2 linked regions of the Arabidopsis thaliana genome follow. The protein of the gene in region 1 interacts with the protein of each later gene in a biochemical or structural test. Each region holds a gene or a part of one and is shown in the gene's direction. Other genes may lie near its edges. The genes, in order: KIPK and ZWI.

What was found.
Region 2: the proteins of KIPK (region 1) and ZWI form a complex in vitro, tested with the Arabidopsis thaliana proteins (one study listed by BioGRID).

What each region holds. Positions count from the first base shown.
Region 1 is NC_003074.8:19,604,609-19,616,346, forward strand, and holds KIPK (KCBP-interacting protein kinase), read left to right. Parts: upstream 1-3,288; 5' UTR 3,289-3,508; exon of another isoform or gene 3,509-4,422; 5' UTR 4,423-4,541; coding exon 4,542-6,463; intron 6,464-6,541; coding exon 6,542-7,424; 3' UTR 7,425-7,609; downstream 7,610-11,738. Other genes in the region: AT3G52900 (RAB6-interacting golgin (DUF662)), read left to right, coding at 8,526-8,753, 8,823-8,933, 9,002-9,082, 9,170-9,244; AT3G52905 (Polynucleotidyl transferase, ribonuclease H-like superfamily protein), read right to left, coding at 9,534-9,584, 9,678-9,767, 9,862-9,957, 10,050-10,118, 10,533-10,590, 10,715-10,863; GRF4 (growth-regulating factor 4), read right to left, coding at 11,569-11,738. UniProt on the Arabidopsis thaliana protein: Could be involved in the negative regulation of root growth.
Region 2 is NC_003076.8:26,367,373-26,380,453, reverse strand, and holds ZWI (kinesin-like calmodulin-binding protein (ZWICHEL)), read left to right. Parts: upstream 1-4,006; 5' UTR 4,007-4,059; coding exon 4,060-4,199; intron 4,200-4,289; coding exon 4,290-4,518; intron 4,519-4,594; coding exon 4,595-5,161; intron 5,162-5,246; coding exon 5,247-5,346; intron 5,347-5,429; coding exon 5,430-5,611; intron 5,612-5,688; coding exon 5,689-5,804; intron 5,805-5,916; coding exon 5,917-6,019; intron 6,020-6,139; coding exon 6,140-6,292; intron 6,293-6,402; coding exon 6,403-6,549; intron 6,550-6,634; coding exon 6,635-6,835; intron 6,836-7,097; coding exon 7,098-7,262; intron 7,263-7,341; coding exon 7,342-7,446; intron 7,447-7,545; coding exon 7,546-7,683; intron 7,684-7,768; coding exon 7,769-7,963; intron 7,964-8,087; coding exon 8,088-8,214; intron 8,215-8,294; coding exon 8,295-8,497; intron 8,498-8,582; coding exon 8,583-8,765; intron 8,766-8,835; coding exon 8,836-8,931; intron 8,932-9,017; coding exon 9,018-9,215; intron 9,216-9,535; and 7 more. Other genes in the region: AT5G65950 (trafficking protein particle complex subunit-like protein), read right to left, coding at 1-164; CHY1 (beta-hydroxyisobutyryl-CoA hydrolase 1), read left to right, coding at 1,293-1,322, 1,398-1,478, 1,543-1,611, 1,673-1,736, 1,812-1,891, 1,961-2,044, 2,124-2,208, 2,291-2,376 and 6 more; AT5G65925 (uncharacterized protein), read right to left, coding at 10,880-11,332. UniProt on the Arabidopsis thaliana protein: Minus-end microtubule-dependent motor protein involved in the regulation of cell division and trichome morphogenesis through microtubules bundling. Possesses basal and microtubule-stimulated ATPase activities.

The sequences.
Region 1 (11,738 bases):
CGGAAATAAAGGACTGATTGATTCTTAAGTCTTTTTTAATTAACCCGAAAAATAGTTGGTGGAAAAGTCACAAATGTGCCACGTTATTGGATAAGTTGTGGAAAAGTCCACAAATGATGGGTTTTAGATTATTGGGCTTCTTTTCCTGACCTCTTAAGGCCCAAAATAACAAAATTCAAGAAACATGAAGCTTAGTCCTTCGACCCACATGATAACCCATTTGACCATCACATGATTAACAATTCGACTAAAACAACCATAAATTTTGATTTATCAGCAATTATATTTGTAAATAGGTTTATTACTACAATCTGTACGTAATAAGTATCAATCTTTGAAGGAACTAAAATTTACACATTCCCATCCAAGACTATAGGCAGTCACAATAACCCATTTGGATGAATGCTCATTTTTATTTTTAATTGTTCAAATTTCAAAATACTGTGTATAGCTAAAAAATCGAATTAATAAGTGAAGGAGAAAAAATTGGTGGAGTGGATTAGATGCATACAATGACAAAAAAGCCAAGCAAGCCTTTTATGGGGGTGTGGCCTGTCGACACAAACATGTGAAACCTATACTTGTTGCCTTATTCTCTAGCTTGTTCTCTTTCTTTTTATTTTTTTCTTTTACCAAATCTAATTTGATTACCCTATATATCTCATCTTCCTCGGATTCTCATTTCTCAGATCTTAGTTCTTATTGATATTGTTTTGTTTAATAGTAGTTATCAAGAATATACATAACTCGAATCATTTGTCGTTGTGCACCGTTGTTTCTTGTTCGCCGTCCACGCAATAATTATAAACATCCATACCTAAATTTTATATATACACATCATGAAATATTGCGACAAAGACATTTAATCTAGTGGCTCATAGTATTAGTGCAGTCATTGCATCATAACTTGGTATAAATGTTTGAGATACAAAAATAAGTATATATATATATATATAATAGAGTTTAATCCGCGGTACACCGCGAAAATAATTTATTTTTTAAATTAATATATATAAAAGTATGGGTACTTTTTGTATTTTGTACACTATTAATGAAAATTCACATTTTAAAAAATAAAATTGAATGATGGTTCAAATTGATCTTAAACGAAAAAATCTGGGTTCCATCAATCGTTTTTCTTGAAAAGATGCAAAATATTTTTAAAAATCGAATAAAATAATTAGCAGGACCATTGATATATTTAAATATGCGCATGCATATGTTTGTATAATAAAATCTTTTGATGTTGATGGTTGGTTTAAGTTAAATAAGAAATCAGAAGCGGACGTAACACATCTAATTTTTGTGTTAGTTTAGTGTTTACAATATATTTAATGGGGATTAAAAGCATGAGGGAAGAGATTAAAGGCGCAGAAAGAGGAATCCTAGGCTCAAAGGGTTCTCAAAGACCTATCAAGTCTCTATTATTTCCTAACACCACGTTCCAACTGTATGATTTAGGCTTTTTTGCCAGATTCAAAAGTACTTTGTTGTTATTAATCTCGATCATGTATCATTAAGTTATGTTTCTTGATCTTATGGTTACGGTTGTATATTATTTGATTTTTCCTATGCATTTTCCATTAGACTCTATTTGATTTTTCCTATGCATCTTCTATTAGATTCTAGTTCATTCTTTCTTATTTTTTTAATTCATTTGTCTTGGGTGGCTAATGAAGCAATAATGGTTTTTAGTTTTTATTTGAGATATTTGTAATTAATGATGCATATAATTTACTGTTTTACGTGGAAAAACGTATTCTAATTTCTTGTAAATTGCAATCGCATTGTATATTGTACCGAGGAAAAGGATCGATTTGCCTGCGTGTGTATAAGCTTTATCAACGAGATCCAAAGTAATCTATATATGACCCATTGACCTACCATCATACACAAAGTCAACACACCTAAAAATGATTATGATCATGTTAATCTATTACCGCTTCACATACAATTGATAAAACCAAACTAAAACTAAAACTAAATATAAATACTATAAACTAGTTAAGTAACCCACGAAAAAGTCTCGGCTTGGCTATAAAAATGCAGTCACCTTCCACTTTTTATTATCTTTCTGATAGTCATTCTATCAGAAATATTTTATACATTAGACTGATTTGTAGTATTTTCGTCTGCTTAAATTTGAACATATCGTTCGTTAATCATTAATGTTTCCTAAGTTAGTAACAGGCCTAATTCTTAATTGTATGTTCAATACTTTTATCTTATGATCTGATGTCTGAACTTTGAGGTAAAATGGTACTAGTATAGTTCCATAGTTATGAATTTGAAAGACTGATTAAAAATATATATTCAAAATACATATCAATCTACAGTGTTCTTTTTTTGTTTGCTAAATTATATGAATCTACAAAATAAAAACGTTATTTCTTCGAAAGAAGTGTTGTCGAAAAAACATTTTGAAAAGAACTGCGCATTGGCTACCTGTCTTATTCTGACAATATTGCTCCACCGTTATATTTTAAAAGCATTCACATCTATTTTTATCTTCTCACCAATCTTACCTACTACCATGTGTTCGCAGTAAATTAAGACATACGACGATCGAAATACTGTAATTATTTATTTTTATTGATTACACTAAACTAATCTTTTCATCAAGATAATCTTTCTTATGGGATTTCTGATTGTAAAGGGGTTTTTCCTCAATTTTTCCCTATTATTTTTTCAATTTAGTTTTGCCCAAAAAAAAAAAAAGAAACTATTTAATAAAGTTCTATAATATATTATTGATATAATCCGATTGAGTTAGCTCGATTAGAAGAATCATAGATGGCTAGATAAAGACATCTAGTCGACCTCTACTACTCTAGTGATCTAAGATTCAACTGGAGAGCAGTGTTATGACTTTGAAAAAAAAAAAAAAAAAAATCAGCATGATATACAACTTTTATAGATTAGTCACTATTCGATGAATGATGGGAAATTTCTTTGGCAATTTGACTTTGGTCAAATATGTCATGATATTGGTGGAAGTAAATTATTGATCATCAACATTTCCGGGAGGTGAAATCAGTTTTGACATGACAGTATATAATATTAAAATACTTGTTTCTATGAATAAAAACAGCATAAATCCAAATAAAGCTCGAATTATTTAAATAAAAGAACAATAACAATTCAGATAAATTTATGAACAATAATAAAAGAGTTTTGAAATGGAATTAAATATCTTCTGAAGTGAAATATGTAATAAAAATACAGTAGTAATTTTTATTTGTTTTGAGGCATAATAAAATGAGGAAAAAACCCGCAAACATATGCTGTGGGACCCACCATGTTTTTTTTTTCAACTTGATCATCTCTTAACTCTCTCTCATTCACCAGAAAACAAAAATTACACAAAAATCAAAACTTTTACTTTTTATTTCTCCTCTCTGGATCTTCCTCTTCAAAGCTCAAGGCCATTAGGGTTTATCTGAGCTCCAAAATCACCCTAATTCTAGTGTATTTCTCAGCAAGCAAGCTTCTTCTTTTTTTGTCCTGGGTAAGCCTTTGTTCCTTCAATTTATCGCCAGCTTCTTCTTTATCTCTTACCTTTTCTTCTTTGCACGCCTCCATTAGCACTTTATTTATTTTTCTTCTGTAACCCTCTCTTTGATTTGCTTTAATTCATGAGATTTGGGGACCGTATTCAGGGTTTTTTTTGGGTGGGTTTCTCTGATTTTTTTTTCCTTTTTCAGACCTTTCATTATCTCTATGTGGTCACTTAAGGTCTCTGCAGTTTCAATTCAAAAATTTAGTTTAAAAAAAAAAAAAATCTGGGTGTGTGTTCATTAGCTAGCTCCTCTTTGTTCACTCATTGGCTCTCTATGATTTGACATTTAAGATTATTGCTGCATTTAATTGTGCTAAATCGATTCTGCACTCATGCTTCAGCTACTGTTCTTTGTGTCCCTGTAAATTTAAGTTTTTGAGATCTGAAACTATAAGAAATTTTCCGATTTTGGTTCTCATTAGTTGTTAGATCTCTTATCTCACTCGAAGCTTCTTTTTTTACGCGGTTTGATTTATTAATTTCGTTACTTCTCTGTAAATTCTCGATCTTTAGGGTTCTTCTCATCCCCTGGTTTAATAATGGGTCCAATCTCAGTTCTTGTTCACTCTAATTTTACTTTCACAATATCTCCAATTACGCAGATGCTTTTTGACAAATTTTCTCCATTAAAAGTGTCTTCTTTTTTAGCTGTATTAAATTTATAGGTCTCTCTATCTGTACTGGTATAGGGTTCATGATTGAGTCTACAAAAACATAATGAATGACCTAAAAGCTATTAACTTTCGTTTCTAGATCTGCTTGCTTCTCTTTAATATCTTCACCTCATTGCTCTAATAGACATTAATCTCCATTTGAAGTTAGTATTCTTTTACCAGTTTTACTGATTTTTCTTTTTCATTCAGGTAACTGTGATTGTTGCAGGATCTTGTGTAGAAACAGATCACAAGAAGATGAATGATAACTCGGTGGTGCGGCTTTGATTATCTTCAGAGATTTTAGATTCTGTATCCACTCTGTTGCGATGGGGTCGTTTGCAGGCGCTTGTGAGATTGTGGAAGAGAAGGATGATGAAGTAAGATTGCCAAAACATTCCGGGAGATATGGTAAATCGGTTATGGGATCATCAAGTAAGGATTTGGTGGAGCGTAAGCAACGAGAGTATCATGGTTCTCTTGAGTATGACATTGATATGCTTTTTCAGTCTATTTCTGTTAAACCATCTACTACGAGGTTGATGAGTTCTTCTTTCCATCATCATGAGACGAGCGCGAGTGCCGGTCCAAGCAGGACCACAAGCCCTTCGAAGAGAATTGCGTCCATGAAAAAACCAGGGACACCTCAGTCTCCTAGATTTGTTGGTCTCTCTGATTCAGTTTCTTTGAAGCAGGCTCTTAGGGATCGTTGCATTTCTAAGGCGTCGGAAATGGCTGCTCAGAAACGGTTGTCGAAATCTGCTGCTGCATCTCCGAGGGTCTCAGAAGCTGACAGGATAAAGAGTTTGTATAACCAAGTTTCGAATGAATCTACTAGCAGCAGGTCTGGGCTTGTTCCTGTGGACAAGGGTAAAGGAAGTTTGGTTGAGATACCTTTGATGCCTGTAAACGATAAACCAAGCTCTTCAAAGAGCGTACCTCAACGGTTTGAAGATCCTTCTAACCCCATTTCTGAGCCATCTCAAGCTGGAACCAGTTTTGGATTACAAGGAGTGGGGAATCAAACGCGGGAGATTAAGCTGTTGCATAGATCCAACAAACCTGGGTCTTGTCTTAGTTCTGGCAGTGGAGATTATGAGATAGAGTTAGATGAAAATGTTGCGTCTCCTTCCACTCATGCATTTGTTGAAGATGATGTGATAGAAATAGACAAACACGTTACTTCACTGCCATCTCACTCTAGCAAGAAAGTCAATGCGACGGAGCTTGACAAGAATATTTCCTCATCTGCTGTAGACTCAGAGCAGAAAGGGAAGTTGGATGATGCACCTAATTCAGGGACAGAGAATGGCAAAACAGTACGGAAGGTAACAAGAATGATTCCACGTCCCAAACAACCGAAAAAGAAAATTTTGCTTAAGAAGAAGTTAAAAATCGGGGTTGTGTCAGCAACTTACCCAACAAAAGACGATGAAGAAATTGTTCCTTCCTTGGACTCTAGTGCCAATCAACTTCTCTGCCAGAGATGTCACTGTTCGTTGAAGAGCACCAGCATCGATGACAACCCACCTTCATATACTTCTAGTCATAATCCTAAGATTTGCACAGATAGTTTGAGCTCTGTTTCAAATAAAGAAGCTCATCAAGGATCTGACGAGAACTCCTCTGGCTCGTGTAATGTCAGTCAAAGCTCTGAAGCTGACATTGTCATAATGAAACAAGATGTTTCCTCTAGCAATAATAGTGGAATCGGTGCAATGGTAGAAAAAGAAACCGAGAATCCGACTTCCAGTGAGAAATTCGAGTTCTCTCTGAGTTCAAAAGATAGTCTTGGGGATTATAGCAGGAGCACAAGCATTAGTGAGGAGAGTAATCTGAGCCGATTTAGCTGTGGGAATAAGCCTCACATGTCGATGGATGTGAGATGGGAAGCGATTAAGCATATCAAGGTTCAATACGGCTCTTTGGGTTTACGACACTTCAACCTTCTGAAGAAACTTGGTTGTGGAGATATAGGAACAGTCTATCTCGCCGAGCTGATTGGTACAAACTGTTTGTTTGCCATAAAGGTTATGGACAACGAGTTCTTGGCGAGAAGGAAAAAGTCTCCCCGGGCACAAGCAGAAAGAGAAATACTTAAAATGTTGGACCATCCTTTTCTTCCTACATTATACGCGCAATTTACTTCGGATAATTTATCTTGTCTAGTCATGGAATATTGTCCTGGAGGAGATCTTCATGTCCTCAGACAGAAGCAGCTAGGCCGGTGTTTCCCTGAACCTGCAGCAAGGTAAAGATTTACCTTTTCCATTTCGTGTCTAGCTTATTTAATGTACTGAAAATTGATTGTAAAAATTTGTTTCTGTAGATTCTATGTGGCCGAAATTCTCCTTGCACTGGAGTACTTACACATGCTTGGTATCATATACCGAGATCTGAAACCGGAAAACATTCTTGTCCGTGAAGATGGACACATTATGCTTACGGATTTTGACCTCTCACTCCGTTGTGCAGTGAACCCGACTCTTGTCAGGTCAAACTCTCCACCTGGTAAAGATCCCGCAAGGATTTCAGGTCCATACAACACATCCAACTGCATACAACCATTCTGTATCACCGAACCATCTTGCCAGGTTTCGTGTTTCAGCCCTAGGCTCTCCTCAAACCAACAACAAGGTAGAAAACCAAAAAGGGGTGATCATCTTTCGAAAACCCAACAACACTTGAGTAGATCATTGCCTCAGCTCGTGGCTGAACCAACCGAAGCAAGATCCAATTCCTTTGTGGGAACACACGAGTACCTAGCCCCAGAGATCATCAAAGGAGAAGGACATGGCGCTGCAGTTGACTGGTGGACTTTCGGGGTTCTCCTTTACGAGCTTTTATACGGGAAAACACCATTCAAAGGTTACAACAACGACGAGACTTTGGCCAATGTTGTGTTACAGAACCTCAAGTTTCCTGATAGCCCGCTTGTAAGCTTCCAGGCAAAAGACTTGATCAGGGGACTTCTTGTTAAGGAACCAGAGAACAGGCTCGGGTCAGAGAAAGGTTCTGTAGAGATCAAAAGACATCCTTTTTTTGAAGGATTGAATTGGGCTCTGATCCGGTGTGCAATCCCGCCTGAGCTACCGGATTTCTATGAGTATGGTGGTGGACCAGAGGCAGCGGCGGATTCGCCTGGAGGCAGTAATAATAGGTATCTTGAATGTAAAGCCATAGGCGATCATCTTGAGTTCGAGTTGTTTTAAGCAAGACATAGATATTCTCTGGTATAAGCATTCAGAGTAATCGTTGTTGTAAGTTATTATATCTAAGTTAAATCTAAATGTCTTATATGTAAATTTAGCGTTCTCTGAGACATAATCTGATATAGTATTCTCAAAAATATATATGCTCCTTCGTATCTCAATTTTTAAATATATGATCAAACATTACAATCTTAGTAGACACTAATCTACAAAACCAAAAGATTACAAACACTTTTCTTCAATGAAAGACTTGAGTTGAGATTCCCATCTGATGAAGAACACTTGACGTCGAAGAAGCTGACCTCAAAGCCTCAGCTAATGGTCCACCCATATTGTGGTGGTTCCCTACATTGCTCCACCAATTCAATTGCTCCCTCTCATTGTTGTTGTTTCTCAGGTTCTCTTCTTCTTTTTCTTCTTCATTGCTTGTTGAAAGTTTTAGAGAAACATCTGAGGAAGCGTTACTATTACCGGGCACGGAGATTGAGATATGACAAGTGGATGAGCTCATTGGACTGGAGGTAGAGCCCAATGATGATTCGCCTAGCCCGCCTAAACCCGCCTAATGACCGTGTAATCCACTTAATGTCTGCATAGTCCGCCAAATCTTCCTCACCGCCTAATAGAATCGATTTTAAGAAAGTCGAAGCGGTACATGAACGCCTAGCACCTAGGGGATGCCTAGACGGCTGCGTAACCCGCTTTCTTGAATACCGCCTAGTTGTAATTGCACATTTTTGGGTGTATATCAATTTTTTTCCAGCAAAATTAGGCAGTTGCACCTATCACCTATGTCTCACCCTACTGGGCCGGGCCTGAATAATTTATGTTACAAAGATTGCAATTTGCAAACATTAAAAGAAGAAAAGCCCAAAAAGGACATCTTTGATCATCAGATTGGCTCCACTTTAATTACGAAATTGATTTCTTTATTTTTCCTTTTTTACTTTTCCTTTTGGCGGGACTGCTTGCTTTGATTTTGGAATGATGTAAAAGCAAAGCAATTATGTTTGGGAAGGTTTAAGCAAAAGCAAAAGACAAGTGAAAGTAAATAAATAGATATTGAGAGAGACATAGAGACTGTTGTAACAAGAAAAAAAAATGAGTAGCAAGAATAACTCCGGAGCTGCTGCAGTTTCTGGAGTCAACACCAACGGTAAGCTACCAATGGAGGACAATGAAGAAGAAGAGATATGGAAAGTTGCAGTGACGAGGTTTCAAGCCCGAGAAGAAGAGATCGAGAGGAAGAAGATGACTGTTAAGGAAAAAGTTCAACAGCGGCTCGGTTTTGCAGAGGAAGCTACAAGATGCTTAACTCAAACATTGGAAGTAAGTTTATAAAAAGCCTTTTGTGTAACATGGTAGACAACAAAGCTAATAATGTTCTTACTAAAACAGGAGCTAGAGATTATGGGAGATCCTATGAGAAAAGAAGTTGGTATGGTGAGGAAGAAAATCGACATGGCGAATCGAGATATCAAATCTTTGGCACAAAGCTGTCAGAAAAAGGTATTACACATTTTCATTTTCAGGAAAAGCTGGCAGCTTTGTTTTAACACAAGAGGATAATTTGACAGGAGAAGGAATACAAAGACACATTGGAAGCTTTCAATGAAAAGAACAAAGAGAAAGCTCACCTTGTTTCCATGTTAATGGAGGTATTTAGTCTAAACCACTTAAAAGCTTTGTAAAATTTCTACTGAAGATCCAATGTGTGATTTGTGACGATGATTTTCTTTTGGCAGCTACTGGCTGAAAGTGAAAGATTAAGGATAAAGAAACTGGAGGAAATCAACAAGACTGTTGGAACCTTGCAATGAGGAGAAGCAATCTACATGGATCTTACCTTAAAAGAGAGTGAAAATTTGTTTAAGTTTTTGGTATTACACTCTATCCAGGTCCTCCTATTAAAAGTGAGCTACGATGTAACAGGATGTACGATAAATGAATGGTGCTAAGGTTTAAAGATATGAATGCAGCGAAAAACGAATTTCTTAAAAGATGCAAGATGTCTTTGTACACATAGATAATGTCAAAACAAATCAAGCATCATTATATTCATATATCCGAAACTAGCGGCTTCCCTATTTTGTCATTACCCGTTTCCTTTTACTCTGCTGGCTCAGTGTTTACATACCTGTTCGCGTAATCTAAATACTCCTGCAAGTAACAAACAATCAAACATAAAAATTATCAAGAAGGAAATACAAGAACAGATTCCATTGGTCTTTAAATGAATATTAGTAACCTTACCTGAAGTATAACTACTGCGGCTAACTTGTCCAACATTGTCTTCTCTTGAACAGGATGCAAATTCAAGGGCTTCAACATCAGTTCAACGGTCTGTTGACAGTATTACATGAGATTCAAGGGATATTAAACTTAACACCTATCTTTACTGTGACTTACAAGATCTTTAAATCTGAAAAATATATACCTTTGATGATAATCGCTCGTCCCAATATGTGTATTTCACATCCTTGAGTTTTTCGGTCTTACGAAGTTCCTCAATGAAAAGATTCACAGTGACAACCTGTTCCAAGTTTAAAAATCCTTTTCGGTTATATGAGCTAATGTAGAGGAAAAGTACTTCACAATTCAGTCGAAACAAAAAAAAAAACTTACATCCTCTACATTGTTCAGTTTGCCAAATGGATAACCAACGACTAATCCCGACACAGAAAATGCTTTGACCTGCATAAGACAACAAAAGGCAAATGATTGATGTAATCAAACAGAGTTCATAAGTCTACTTGTTGATAGATCTCTACTACGTCAAGGACTTAACAGTAAACACTAACTGAATAAACCTTGATCCTTTAATCACCAGTAAGGCAGTAATCACAAAAAGCCGAGGGTGAAAGTAGACACTAATCTACTACACTAACAAACTTTCTTCTTCATTACCAAAACAAACGATAGTTTCTTCATTCCTTATCTTAGTAAACACTAATCTACACTAGCAACCTTTTTTCTTTGTTTTAAAAAACACTAAGAAATGATAGTTTCTCCATTTCTTAACAAGAACTAAAATCTGTGTATTTGTTTAAGGTCTCCTTTAAATCTAGAGCTAAAAAGTAAAGGAACGATCAAACTTATAGCACCTACCAGGTTCTGGAAATCTGTAGCCATCAGGTCAATGTTTGATTTCTTTCTGAGCAAAACACTGCAAGAGAAGTAACAGGTTTTCAATAGCGATGATGGTGACAAAATTGATCAGAGAGGATTTGCATTTTTGAAAATTACTGTTAAACAAATGTTGTAGCATGTAGACACTGAATCAAAGGTACCTCAATGGAGAAGCAACCATATTTGAAGGATCTGAGATAGCTAATCCAACATACTTATCACCAACATCTAAACCCAGAAACCGACCAGGGACTGACACTTTGGTCTTCAGCGCATTACCCAATAAGCTCAATGGCTTCACATACTTCATTTCCTGATCAAAAGTAAGTGAATCAAACTTCCAAAACACTTGTTCAAATCAAGACTAAAAATTCACATATCAATTGCATAAATTTGAGAATTATTGTACAAAAAAAACTTTAATCAGACCATCAAACAAACATTTCGAAAAAGGGTTTTAGAAATTAATCAGAAAGTTTAAATCTTGACGTACTTTAAAGGCGGAAACTTTCTGGCTCCGGAGCACGGAATCTGGCGAGAGGAAACGACAAATGGTTCTGCTAAATGTCTTCGCGATTGAAGCAAGCAAGCACAAACCCCAAGATTGTGAATTAGAGATGGACCGGAAAAGGTTTATTCCGGTTAAGTTCGAGACTTCACCGTCTAATCAATCTATACGATGCCGGTGATTATCAGGGTTTTGGTTTTACATTATACCGGGAACCGGTTAATTCGAGGTGGTTTAACTGGTTTCCCAAAATTGATTCGGTTTAGCTTAAGTGAAAAGCTCAAGTAACCACCTCTCCTGTACTTACTTGCAGGCAGAGGATCATATTAGTTTCATTGCTTATACAAAATTGTCAAGCTTTAAACATAAATATAATAGCAGAGTAAGGAACAAAACAATTCCAAAAGCAGAACTCACAATTCCAAAAGAAGACAAATTCAAAGATTATTTTCTGCAGAAAATAAAGATTCAAAGAGCACAAACCAAAAAGATTACAAACACTTTTCTTTAATGAAAAACTTGAGTAGAGATTCCCATCTGATGAAGAACACTTGACGTCGAAGAAGCTGACCTCAAAGCCTCAGCTAATGGTCCTCCCATATTGTTGTGGTGATTCCCTCCATTGCTCCACCAATTCATTTGCTCCCTCTCATTGTTGTTATTTCTCATGTTCTCTT
Region 2 (13,081 bases), on another chromosome or scaffold:
GCAAGGAGGAGAGAGATTTGAGAGAAGTCGGGGAAGGCCAGAGCGTTGATGGGAGGCTGCTGGGAGTGGAGATACTTAGTAATGGACGCGTGTAGCTCCGCGTATCCGAAGAGAGCCACCAGACTTACCGGTGGCGTCCTGAGCTCTTCCGGGTATTCCTCCATCTCGCCGGGGAGTGTCTGAGACTCGGACGCGTTGAATCGAGCAAGGAAGGATCTGACACATTCATTTTACGTGGGCTTTTAACGGGCCTTTGGATAAGGGAATGGACTTGTATAGCTGTCAGATTGTTCATCTGGCCCAGAATATGATGTGAAATACTTAATGGGTTTTCAACGGGCCTTTAATCTTTAAGGGTATGAACCACTGCAGTTGTCAGATCTGATTTAAACTAATGTGGTTTCTAAGGATGTAGTATCATCAGGCCCATTATAAGCCCACTTCTTAAAGATGCATCGACTCGTCAAAAAAATAAAATAATACAAAGAATTCGAATTGGTTGCATATACAGAAACATTGGATTTTACAAAATGGAAGAAAGAATTATTGGAAGAGAATGAGAAGCTGTCAAGCGGAGGAGCGGTTGATGAAGTCAATGCAGTCTGCAATTGCATCGGCGTAGAAAGAGTTAGAGCGACGTATAGATGTGTAATCAAGACCGTCTTCTCTGACCAGCGGAGGCCTTCTGCAGCACCAGCTCCTGAGAAGCCTGAAAAAGCTTCTCACTCTCGCACGCAGTCTCTTTGTCTTCTGCCTCAGCCTAATTCCTCTTCCACTCGGCCATCGTATCCTTGCTCTTTCCATCTTTCAACTCTGTTGCATATGCGTCAGATTGTTGAGTTTTCATGTATATGCAAATTATCTATATATCGAGAGGCGAGGGCTTTCATGTCTGACTTTTAGAAGTGGTTGTTGAGAATTTTTGAAGACTTTTTTAATGATTGATCTGGTGCCCACGTGTCATTTTATGCTAGAGGGAGGTGTTGGTTAGTTGGAAAACTAGCTTCCTAACAAAAAAAACACATGTCTAACGTACTCGATAAAAACATATAATCTTCTCATTCATCAAGCATGTTGCAAGAGGGCTTTGAAATTGAGTTTGAAAAGCAAAGTTCCATTTGCTCTATTAACAAAATAAAGCCCATTATTAAAACCAACAGATTACTATAAGGCCCAATATCAACTTCCTAAACTAAGCGGGTGAAGATTTTGTTAGCCATTAGTGGTAATTTCTGATCCCATTGCTGCTCCTCTCTCCGGAGATACAAAGGCGAATCTGACCAGTAAGAAAGATGGCAGTCGAGATGGCCTCTCAGTCTCAGGTCTCTTTCTTGCGTCTTTAATCCGAATCTACGACGATCAATTCTTCGCTCTCTGAATTAATAATATGATCACAGGTTTTGGTGGAAGAGAAATCGAGTGTTAGAATCTTGACACTAAACAGACCAAAGCAGCTGAATGCTCTGTCCTTCCACATGGTATCGAATATTTCCCTTCTTGTACATGCGTACTGTATTGGCTTAGACTCATTTTTTTCTGTAGATCTCTCGATTGCTGCAACTGTTCCTTGCATTTGAGGAGGACCCTAGTGTGAAACTTGTCATCCTAAAGGTAATCATTATCCTTATCTCTTCCGCTTACACACATTTAGTACTGAATAACTTTGCCACAGGGTCATGGGAGAGCCTTTTGTGCTGGTGGCGATGTTGCAGCTGTTGTTCGTGACATCAATCAAGGTTTACCACCCATTCTTTTCTGTTTCTTACTTTCAGCTTTTATACACTCTTTCTCTATCTTCGTTCGTTGACTAGGTAACTGGAGACTCGGTGCCAATTACTTCTCATCTGAATACATGCTCAACTATGTTATGGCCACATATAGCAAAGCTCAGGTCTCGCTATAATTTCGTTTTGTTTTTGTAAAATCACTCCCGAGTGGATAAACTCATCAATTCGTATAGGTTTCAATCTTGAATGGTATCGTCATGGGAGGCGGAGCTGGTGTATCCGTCCATGGTCGATTTCGTATTGCAACTGAGAACACGGTAATCTTTCCTTAAACATGTCCATGGATGACAAATAGGTCGCTCCAAAATATGCTCATATCTTTCGACTTTCTCCAAGGTTTTTGCCATGCCTGAGACAGCTCTGGGGCTCTTTCCAGATGTAGGCGCCTCCTACTTCTTGTCAAGGCTCCCTGGTTTTTTTGGTAACAGAAGCTATATTTCCTTTTTTTGCATCTTCTTAAAGCCACCAAAGTTTGAAAATGCTTTCTTGTCTTTTTTGTTCAGGGGAGTATGTTGGCCTCACAGGAGCTAGATTAGATGGTGCTGAAATGCTTGCTTGTGGCCTTGCAACTCATTTTGTGCCTTCAACGGTATGAACTTCCTTTGCGTGCGTCTATTTCGTAAGACATTCTGAATTGACTTTACACATCAGATATTGTATAGCTACTAGTGTCAAGCACTATCTGCTTCACCAAGGATTGCTACTTAGTTAGGTTTACTCCTTTCCACAGAGGTTGACTGCATTAGAAGCAGATCTTTGCAGAATTAATTCAAATGATCCAACTTTTGCCTCAACAATTCTCGATGCATACACCCAGCATCCGCGCCTGAAACAGCAGAGTGCTTACCGCAGGCAAGTCTATATGATTTTTATCTCTTTTACTCTTTCTACTAGTATGGTTTTACCTGATTACATTTTCTCGGTTATTGACCATGATTATAACACATTTTTTCTATAATTTCAATTTCGTATTGCTGTCAGGTTTTCAATCGCTCTTTACAGAACTCATTTCTCATCTGATCTTTAATTGAAAATTTATAAAAGTGCAGAGGACAGTTATTTTTTATCTCCCCGTTTGTTGCGCAGGTTAGATGTTATTGATAGGTGTTTCTCAAGGAGAACAGTCGAAGAAATTATATCTGCACTTGTAAGCTTTTCATTTATATATAGAGATGTTGACTTGCGATCCTGAGTTGACTGATTTACCTTTGACAACGCACTCTACCATCATATGTGTTGCTTAGGAGAGAGAGGCCACTCAAGAAGCAGATGGTTGGATCTCAGCTACCATTCAAGCATTGAAGAAGGGTTCACCAGCAAGCCTTAAAATCTCTCTTAGATCGGTTAGTTCCCAGAATGTGCATCACAGGCAATGTTGACAAAGAGCTGACTGTGAGTATATATTTCAGATAAGGGAAGGGCGATTGCAGGGGGTGGGGCAGTGTCTTATCCGCGAGTATAGAATGGTGTGTCATGTGATGAAGGGAGAAATCAGCAAAGATTTTGTGGAGGTTTTGCAAGCTTTTTCCATCTGAAACCGTCTTTGTTGTAGACCGTAGTTACAACAGCGTGTCTTTACTTATGCAGGGGTGCAGAGCCATATTGGTAGACAAAGATAAGAACCCAAAGGTTTAACAAGTCTCTCCATTTGTTATTTGTGGTTGGTAATATGTGACATTGTTGATAACAATATCTGAAATTATAGTGGGAGCCAAGGCGACTGGAGGACATGAAGGATAGCATGGTGGAGCAGTACTTCGAGAGAGTGGAACGGGAGGATGATCTAAAGCTTCCGCCAAGGAATAACTTGCCTGCTTTAGGGATCGCAAAGCTGTGAAGTGGAGAAGGTGATGGAGCACTATTGTTTACGTCTGTGGGAAAGAAAAAAGAAAATAAATGTAACAACACTTGTGTTGAATAGGACTTGCATACATTACATAAATCATTATTGTATTTGAGAATTGACACCAAAGCAGCAGAGCAGAATTGTGTTAAGATTTGTTAATGGTGTTGGAGGCACAACCATGGCAAACGGACGTGGAAGCACGTCTATAGTCATTGTTCATTTATTTGATTGAGATTCCTCCTTGGTCTCATCTTCTGAAAACGAAAAATAATTAGAAAATCAGGTGAATCGTGAAGTATTGAATGAGAAGAGGCAATTAAAAATCTCCCGTGACTCTCGTCTCCCCATCTCTCTCTCTCCCTCTGCCCAAATTTCTGGGGCAAATTTGTTCATCAGATCTACTACAATCTCTCTTTTTCTTCGGGTATGGAGGGCCAACGAGGCAGTAATTCTTCGTTGAGCTCTGGCAATGGCACCGAAGTCGCCACCGACGTTTCTTCTTGCTTCTATGTTCCCAATCCCTCTGGAACCGATTTCGATGCCGAGTCGTCTTCTCTTCCTCCTCTGTAAGTCTTCTTTGAATTTTTAAAAACATTCACTCTCTTGCTGCTGTCTCTGTTGATCCTTCTTCTTTGAAAATTTGAAAACATTCTTAGTCTCTCGCTCTGTCACAGCTCCCCAGCTCCTCAAGTGGCATTGTCAATTCCTGCGGAGCTTGCCGCCGCCATTCCCCTCATCGATCGCTTCCAGGTTGAAGCTTTTCTGCGGCTAATGCAGAAACAAATCCAGTCTGCTGGGAAGCGTGGCTTCTTCTATTCCAAAAAGTCCTCTGGCTCCAATGTCCGCGAGCGCTTCACATTTGAGGATATGCTTTGCTTTCAAAAGGTTTTTCTTTCCCCCCCTTTCTTCCCCATTGACAATCCATTGACTGAATATGTCTCTCTCCCCTTCCTTCCTTCAGGATCCAATCCCCACATCTCTCCTCAAGATTAACAGCGATCTCGTCAGCCGTGCTACCAAGTTGTTTCATCTCATCTTAAAATATATGGGTGTTGATTCATCTGATCGATCTACGCCTCCCAGTTTAGATGAACGCATTGACCTCGTTGGAAAGCTCTTCAAAAAAACTTTGAAGCGTGTTGAACTCAGGGACGAACTTTTTGCCCAAATCTCCAAACAGACTAGACATAATCCTGACAGGCAATACTTGATCAAAGCTTGGGAATTGATGTACTTATGTGCCTCCTCTATGCCTCCTAGCAAAGATATCGGTGGATATCTATCTGAGTATATTCATAATGTCGCACACGATGCAACTATTGAACCGGATGCTCAGGTTCTTGCTGTTAACACTTTGAAAGCTTTAAAGCGCTCTATCAAAGCTGGTCCTAGGCACACCACACCTGGTCGTGAAGAAATTGAAGCCCTTTTGACCGGTAGAAAGCTCACAACCATTGTCTTCTTTCTCGATGAAACTTTTGAAGAAATTTCATATGACATGGCTACCACAGTGTCTGATGCTGTTGAGGTATCTTCTTGCTTTCTTTTTTCATAATTTACCGCTGATCATATTCTTGTCCCTTTTTCTCTCACTGCATTGACATCTGTTTCAGGAGCTAGCTGGAACAATTAAACTATCAGCTTTCTCTAGCTTTAGTTTGTTTGAATGTCGTAAAGTTGTTTCAAGTTCTAAATCATCTGATCCCGGAAATGGTATGCTTTCATATGACTGGCTTCGTCATATATTGTGAAGTAATACAACATTATCGATCATTTTTCTATCTGTGCACTTGCAGAGGAATATATAGGATTGGATGATAACAAGTATATTGGAGATCTCCTCGCAGAATTTAAAGCTATTAAAGATCGAAATAAAGGAGAGATACTACACTGCAAACTGGTATTTAAAAAAAAATTATTCCGAGAGTCTGATGAAGCTGTAACAGATCTGATGTTTGTGCAACTTTCGTATGTTCAAGTGAGCATTTTCTTCATTGGTGACATTTATTTCCACACAAAAGGCTTGCCTTTCGTTGCTGACACACATATATGCAGCTGCAACATGACTATTTGCTAGGAAACTATCCTGTTGGGAGGGACGATGCTGCACAGCTTTGTGCCTTGCAAATTCTTGTTGGGATTGGGTTTGTCAATAGTCCAGAGTCATGCATGTTAGTTTTCTTAAGCTCCGCCATTGACTTTATTTTAGTTGTCCGATACTTTATTTTTCCAATTTTCCTCCCTTAACAATATCATTTCCTTTCTCAATGTATCACATATCAGTGATTGGACATCACTTCTTGAGCGGTTTTTGCCAAGACAAATAGCAATAACCCGAGCAAAGCGTGAATGGGAATTGGATATCCTTGCTCGCTACCGTTCAATGGTAGGAATAGTTCTATGCATTTTGATTGTCTTCCCCTTTCTAGATACCTTTGGCAAATAAAAACCCATTGAAGTGATGGCATGGTAAAATGATATTTCGTATGTGTATGTGGGCATGTAGGAGAACGTGACCAAAGATGATGCAAGACAACAATTTCTACGGATACTGAAGGCACTGCCATACGGGAATTCAGTTTTTTTTAGCGTACGCAAGATAGATGATCCGATCGGTCTTTTACCTGGGCGAATCATTTTGGGTATCAACAAACGTGGGGTTAGTCTCAATATAAATGTTATACATTATGACTTTAAAAAAACTGTTATTGTTGTTTGGAATTCAAATCTATGTTGTTGGATTTGAATTTGTTGTTTGCTTTCTTGTAGGTTCACTTTTTTCGACCGGTTCCTAAAGAATATCTGCACTCTGCTGAACTACGTGACATCATGCAATTTGGCAGCAGTAACACTGCTGTCTTTTTCAAAATGAGAGTCGCTGGTGTTCTTCACATATTTCAGTTCGAGACAAAACAGGTTTAAACATCACTATTTGTGGATCATTATATTATGAAGCAATTCCTTATGAGATATTCAATTTGGGTAACTTGTATGTTTGTAGGGAGAAGAAATTTGTGTTGCTTTGCAAACACATATAAATGATGTCATGTTGCGTCGTTACTCCAAAGCTCGATCTGCTGCCAATAGCTTGGTTAATGGAGATATATCTTGTAGTTCTAAGCCGCAAAATTTTGAAGTGTATGAAAAACGTTTGCAAGATTTGTCTAAGGCTTATGAAGAGTCCCAAAAGAAGATTGAGAAGGTACACATTCTAACAAATTTCTTATTTATTCTTCAATGTAAAATTGAATATAATAGAGGGAGGCTGATCTTTGTTTAAATACATGAAATAACTTATTGTAGTTGGATTTTTTCATGGTTTTTATGCTTGGTAGTCTTGAGATATTTCAGTATATATCACCCTCCTATCTTATGTTATTGTATGTAGAATGTTATACCATGACCTCTTTTGTTTTAGAGTGGCATGCTGATGAACTATTCGTATGTTTTATGTTGTTGTATAGTTGATGGATGAACAACAAGAGAAAAATCAGCAAGAAGTTACTCTGCGTGAAGAGTTAGAAGCTATACACAATGGTTTGGAGCTTGAAAGGAGAAAATTGTTGGAGGTTACTTTAGACCGAGATAAACTTAGGTCATTGTGTGACGAGAAGGGAACAACTATTCAAGTTAGTTATAACCTAACTTTTGTCTTTCTTTTGATGCTTGGTTGAAGTTATTTAATGATTTATTCTATATATGCTATAGTCCTTGATGTCTGAACTGCGAGGAATGGAAGCAAGGTTGGCAAAGTCGGGCAACACAAAATCAAGTAAAGAGACAAAATCAGAATTAGCCGAAATGAATAATCAGGTGAATATTATGTGTTTAAATCTAATTCATTGTAATCATTGAGTTGTTGTTTTTTGTTTCCAATTCTGCTTTCCTTTGACAATGAATTTTAAGTCACAGATATTATACAAGATCCAAAAGGAGTTAGAAGTTCGAAATAAGGAATTGCATGTCGCAGTTGATAATTCAAAGAGGTTGTTGAGTGAAAACAAGATATTGGAGCAAAATCTCAATATTGAAAAGAAGAAAAAAGAGGAGGTGAATTCTATGTATTAGATTTATTGAAGATTTCAAATTGAGAAGTATCAAATACTTGCGTATTGTTGACATCTCATTATTTCAGGTTGAAATTCATCAAAAGAGATATGAACAAGAAAAAAAGGTGTTAAAGCTTCGAGTTTCTGAACTTGAAAATAAGCTTGAAGTACTTGCTCAAGACTTGGATAGTGCTGAGTCTACGATTGAAAGTAAGAATTCTGACATGCTGCTGTTGCAAAATAACTTGAAAGAACTTGAGGAGTTAAGAGAAATGAAAGAGGTAATGGTACTCTTTTGTCTTCTTCATTATTTAATTTTGTTTCTGTTTGAATGATGATAATGTATTTTCGCGATTCAAAATTGAAGTAGAGGGATGTGTTTACATTCCAATTTCATTTTCTTAGGACATTGACAGAAAAAATGAGCAAACAGCTGCCATTTTGAAAATGCAAGGAGCCCAACTTGCTGAGCTAGAAATACTTTATAAGGAAGAACAAGTTTTAAGGAAAAGATACTATAATACCATAGAAGGTAACATAATGCTCAAGTATGTACAATGATGTTCATTGCTTTTAAAAAAGAATTTTACTAACATTTTTATTTGATTGTAGATATGAAAGGGAAGATTAGAGTTTATTGTCGAATAAGACCTCTAAATGAAAAAGAGAGTTCAGAGAGGGAAAAACAAATGCTGACAACTGTGGATGAGTTTACTGTTGAACATCCATGGAAAGACGACAAAAGAAAGCAACACATATATGATCGCGTATTTGACATGCGTGCTAGTCAAGATGATATCTTTGAAGACACAAAGGTATTATTGATATGTAACTGTGTTCATTTACCTTTCATCCTTTGTTATTTTCTTGTGGTTACTAACATCGTTTTCCTTTTAACAGTATTTGGTACAGTCGGCTGTAGATGGGTATAACGTTTGCATCTTTGCATATGGTCAAACTGGTTCTGGAAAAACTTTCACTATATATGGGCATGAGAGCAATCCTGGACTCACACCTCGAGCTACAAAGGAACTGTTCAACATATTAAAGCGAGATAGCAAGAGATTTTCATTTTCTCTAAAGGTAATTTGTTATCCTAATAGATGATGTGATAAAAGATTATGACATCAACTGACTACAAAAAGTTATGCAGGCATATATGGTGGAACTTTATCAAGACACACTTGTAGACCTTTTGTTACCAAAAAGTGCAAGACGCTTGAAACTAGAGATTAAAAAAGATTCAAAGGTATTGTGAGATATATCTATTTTAACTAGGTTATAACTAGATTGTAGACACGTAAGTTTGATCTTATGCATAAAATATTTTCTCAGGGAATGGTCTTTGTAGAGAATGTGACAACTATTCCTATATCAACTTTGGAGGAACTGCGAATGATTCTTGAACGGGGATCGGAACGACGACATGTTTCTGGAACAAATATGAATGAAGAAAGCTCAAGATCTCACCTCATATTATCAGTTGTTATTGAAAGTATTGATCTTCAAACCCAGTCTGCTGCGAGGGGCAAGGTGACAAAATTCACTATGTTTTTCTTTATTGACTCATTATCATTTTTCACAGGATTTAGTAGCATTTAGGGATTTTAAGGAAATAGGAGTTTCTTTAGATTTTCATGCTTAGTCTACCGAAGAAAAATATAGTAACATTAATCTTGTTTAAGAGAGATATTATTTTACAGCTCAAATCTTTGGTCTGGTACAAAATGTTAAACCTTTATGTACACAATCCATATTATTAGTCAATGATATGCCCTCCATTGTTAAACCCATATCACCTGATCATGGTGGTATCTTCTACAATATTCTGAATTTTTGTTTGTTATTTGCAGCTGAGTTTTGTGGATCTTGCTGGTTCTGAGAGAGTTAAAAAGTCGGGCTCAGCTGGTTGTCAACTCAAAGAAGCTCAAAGTATCAACAAATCACTTTCTGCATTAGGTGATGTTATTGGTGCTTTATCTTCTGGCAACCAGCATATTCCTTATAGGAATCACAAGCTAACGATGTTGATGAGCGATTCATTGGGCGGCAATGCCAAGACGTTAATGTTTGTTAATGTGTCTCCAGCCGAATCAAATTTGGACGAGACGTACAATTCTCTTCTGTAAGTCATGAGTTCCCATATATATATAACATAAATCAAATATGCTTAGTGTAAAAATGGATAATCCATATTGTTTTTTTTCCTCCTTTGATTCCAGATATGCATCGAGAGTGAGAACGATCGTGAATGATCCCAGCAAACATATATCATCCAAAGAGATGGTGCGATTGAAGAAGTTGGTAGCATACTGGAAAGAGCAAGCCGGTAAAAAAGGTGAGGAAGAAGACTTGGTGGATATTGAGGAAGATCGTACACGAAAAGATGAGGCAGATAGTTGAAGAAAGCTGACATGAAATTCGTCTAGGTGAAATTGAGACTATAGTATCACTGGTTTTCACCATTCTTTTTGTAGGAAGTTCCTGCTTTATAGTAGAGTTTCTATCGAAGAGTAGTCCTATATGTCTCAAACTTTCTCTCTTTTGATGAGATCTTCATTACAAGAAATGAAAAAAAAAAAAAAAAATTCGTAGATATTATATGAAGCTGGTGAGAACCATACAAACATATAAAGATAACCCCATAATGTCAAAAGTTATGGTATACGGAGACTAAAAATTCAAACTTTTAATTTAAGGGAAAACTAGACTATAAATTCCATTTTGTGGATTGGAGAAATAACAAAAATTCACCAGTAAAATTTAAGGATTTACACGCAAGACAAATGTAATCCATACGTTGACATTGGGTGATGTAAAGTTGAAGGACTACTCTAATGCCTAGAAGAAGGAAAAAAAAAAAAAATCTCTTTTTGTTTGACCTTTTTTTTTTTGAATAAAACTTTTTTTCATTCCATGATTTCTCATCTGTCTCGCATTAATACTAATTCAGTGTTCGTTGAAAACGTAACTCAAAAATGTCGAAATTGACACAATGAAGGACTACTTTCACTATGTCTGCAATCTAGACTGTGTATTCCGTACTGAAATTTATATACAAGCAAGAAAGTCTATAAGCACACTTGAACAATGCACACAAAATGAATTTCTTTCAGCTGTTTAGCGTTTTTGTATCTAACCAGAAATGGAAGAAGAAAGAAACGAAAATGAGTATGGTCATCTTCATTTTCTTTCTTTTATTGTTGATGAGTAGTGAAAACTCCACCGATTTTTCTTTTTTTGCTATAATCCTCTTCTTCAAACTGATCACAAACCTTCTCTTCATCAATCCTTCCCATAACCATACAACTATAATTTCTCCGGAGATCCATCTGTCGTTTCATAGCCGTCGTCTCCACCGTGATTTCTCCGCTGCTGGCGCCACGTGTGACAAACCGGCAACGTTCACGTGTTGTCGTGGCCGAATTTAGGGTGAAGCTACGAGGGAGAACGGTGGTTGGTGCTTCGCAGATTTGGAAATTACCGGGTGGTAAGCCAAAAGCGCCGGAGCCACCACCACCGCGGATGAAACCGGCGGAGCATGACGTCATGCTACGTATGTAAGCGTCACGTGCCATGATCAAGAAACGAACCGGAGATTTCACCAACCTTGCTAAATTGCTTTCTTTCTTCATTTCTTTAGCTTTCATGATTTAAAGTGGAATAAAAAAAAGTTGATATAAGAGATTACAGAGAGAGTGAGAGAGAGAGGAGATGCGACTAGAACAGGAAGATGCCGTGTATGATAGACTTCGTTTTAAATGCATTTCAGAAATAATAATTATTAGGGTATGTATATATAAATGTATCTAGTTGGATGTTTACGGTTTGGTGATACTTATCTTATTAAAAATTCACAAAATATTAATCTATAGTTTAATTTACTTTGGTTAAGTCAAAATAAGGTTGAAGTTGTAATCTTAAGGGCCGGCAGTTTTAATTAGTATTAATTTTTTAGAAATTTCTTGAAGTATTTATCCATTGAAGCTTAAACTTGCTTACAAGCTCAATAGTCAAATAACAATTGCCAAAGTACACGTCTATATGTCTTTAAACACGTTATCAAAGCGTACAACAACAAAAATATCAAAGTCGAAATTATTATTATAATTAATATGGATTGAGATATGGCACCAAATTTCTTGCATTAAAAATACTGAAATAATGATTTAGGGGGAGTGAGAGATTCATTGGAAGGAAAAGAGAGTATATAAGAAATTGGTGGTTACAGTTGACTTGATTTACCAGTTTCACTATCAAAATTTAAAACCAATTTGTCAAATAAGAAAGATTTTGCTTCAACTTGATTTGTTTCTATAGAGATATTTGACAATGGATTCAATATGTTGTTGGCAACTTGAAATGAAAGCAATAAATTCATCGCTGACATATCTATCTGCACTTTTATAATTTCCAATTATAACTTGCCCCACATAATAAAGTTTTCGAAAGTCAATTTGTAACCTGTATGTCTAGGACGAGATATATTAAATTTTTGATTTGCATCTTTAACAACGACAATAAAAATTCTCGATTTTGCATCTTTATATTTTTGCATAGCTTATTGGGCTTCTTAAATCCTATCATTCACGAAGGCCGTGTACAGCATTTTGATGTACCATTTCGAAGCCCTCACAGCCCAACAACACAAACATTATTATATTTTCTGATAATCGTAGGCATGGTAAAATTTTCAGTTTTAGACCCAATAATATCGTGAATCGAGTTCTATGTTATCCAATTATCATGATGATACTATATGAATTCGCAAACGAATATATCCCGAAAAATAAATCAATTCATCAAGTTAAATTATGATCTGCTGAAAAATTAATCATAATTTGTATCACTAACCTAAAAATAGCGAAACAACATGTTAAATAATCTACGAGTTTAGGACTCACGTGACAGTCTATGTAGCTTAGAAACAAAATACAAAGCGCAATGTGATGTAATTATTCAAATACGACAATCTCAATAACTCATTTCTAAGTTAAATAATCAAACAAATTTAGCAAATTGAAAATTATGCAGGGCAACTCTAGGCACAACAATTATATAAATGTCCTGATATGTGTTCTGTTCATCAAACAATATTTAGAACAACCCTAACCAGCCTGTAGTCATGGTCACTAGGTCCCTTCTCTAGCACATACAAACAGCCATTTATTAGTTAAAAATACTAATTGTATTATCGTCACAATCAATATGAAAATTCACATGGTTTTAGTCGTTATTACAAACACGTCACATCGACTTAAAACTCTTGCCGGTCCGCTTTAAGTTTACTAGTTTGACCGGGAAACTCATAACATCGACAACATTGAGATCATTCATTGGCAATGAATTCATTGCCTATCAATAGCCATTGATAACATACTCTATAAATTAAAAATACT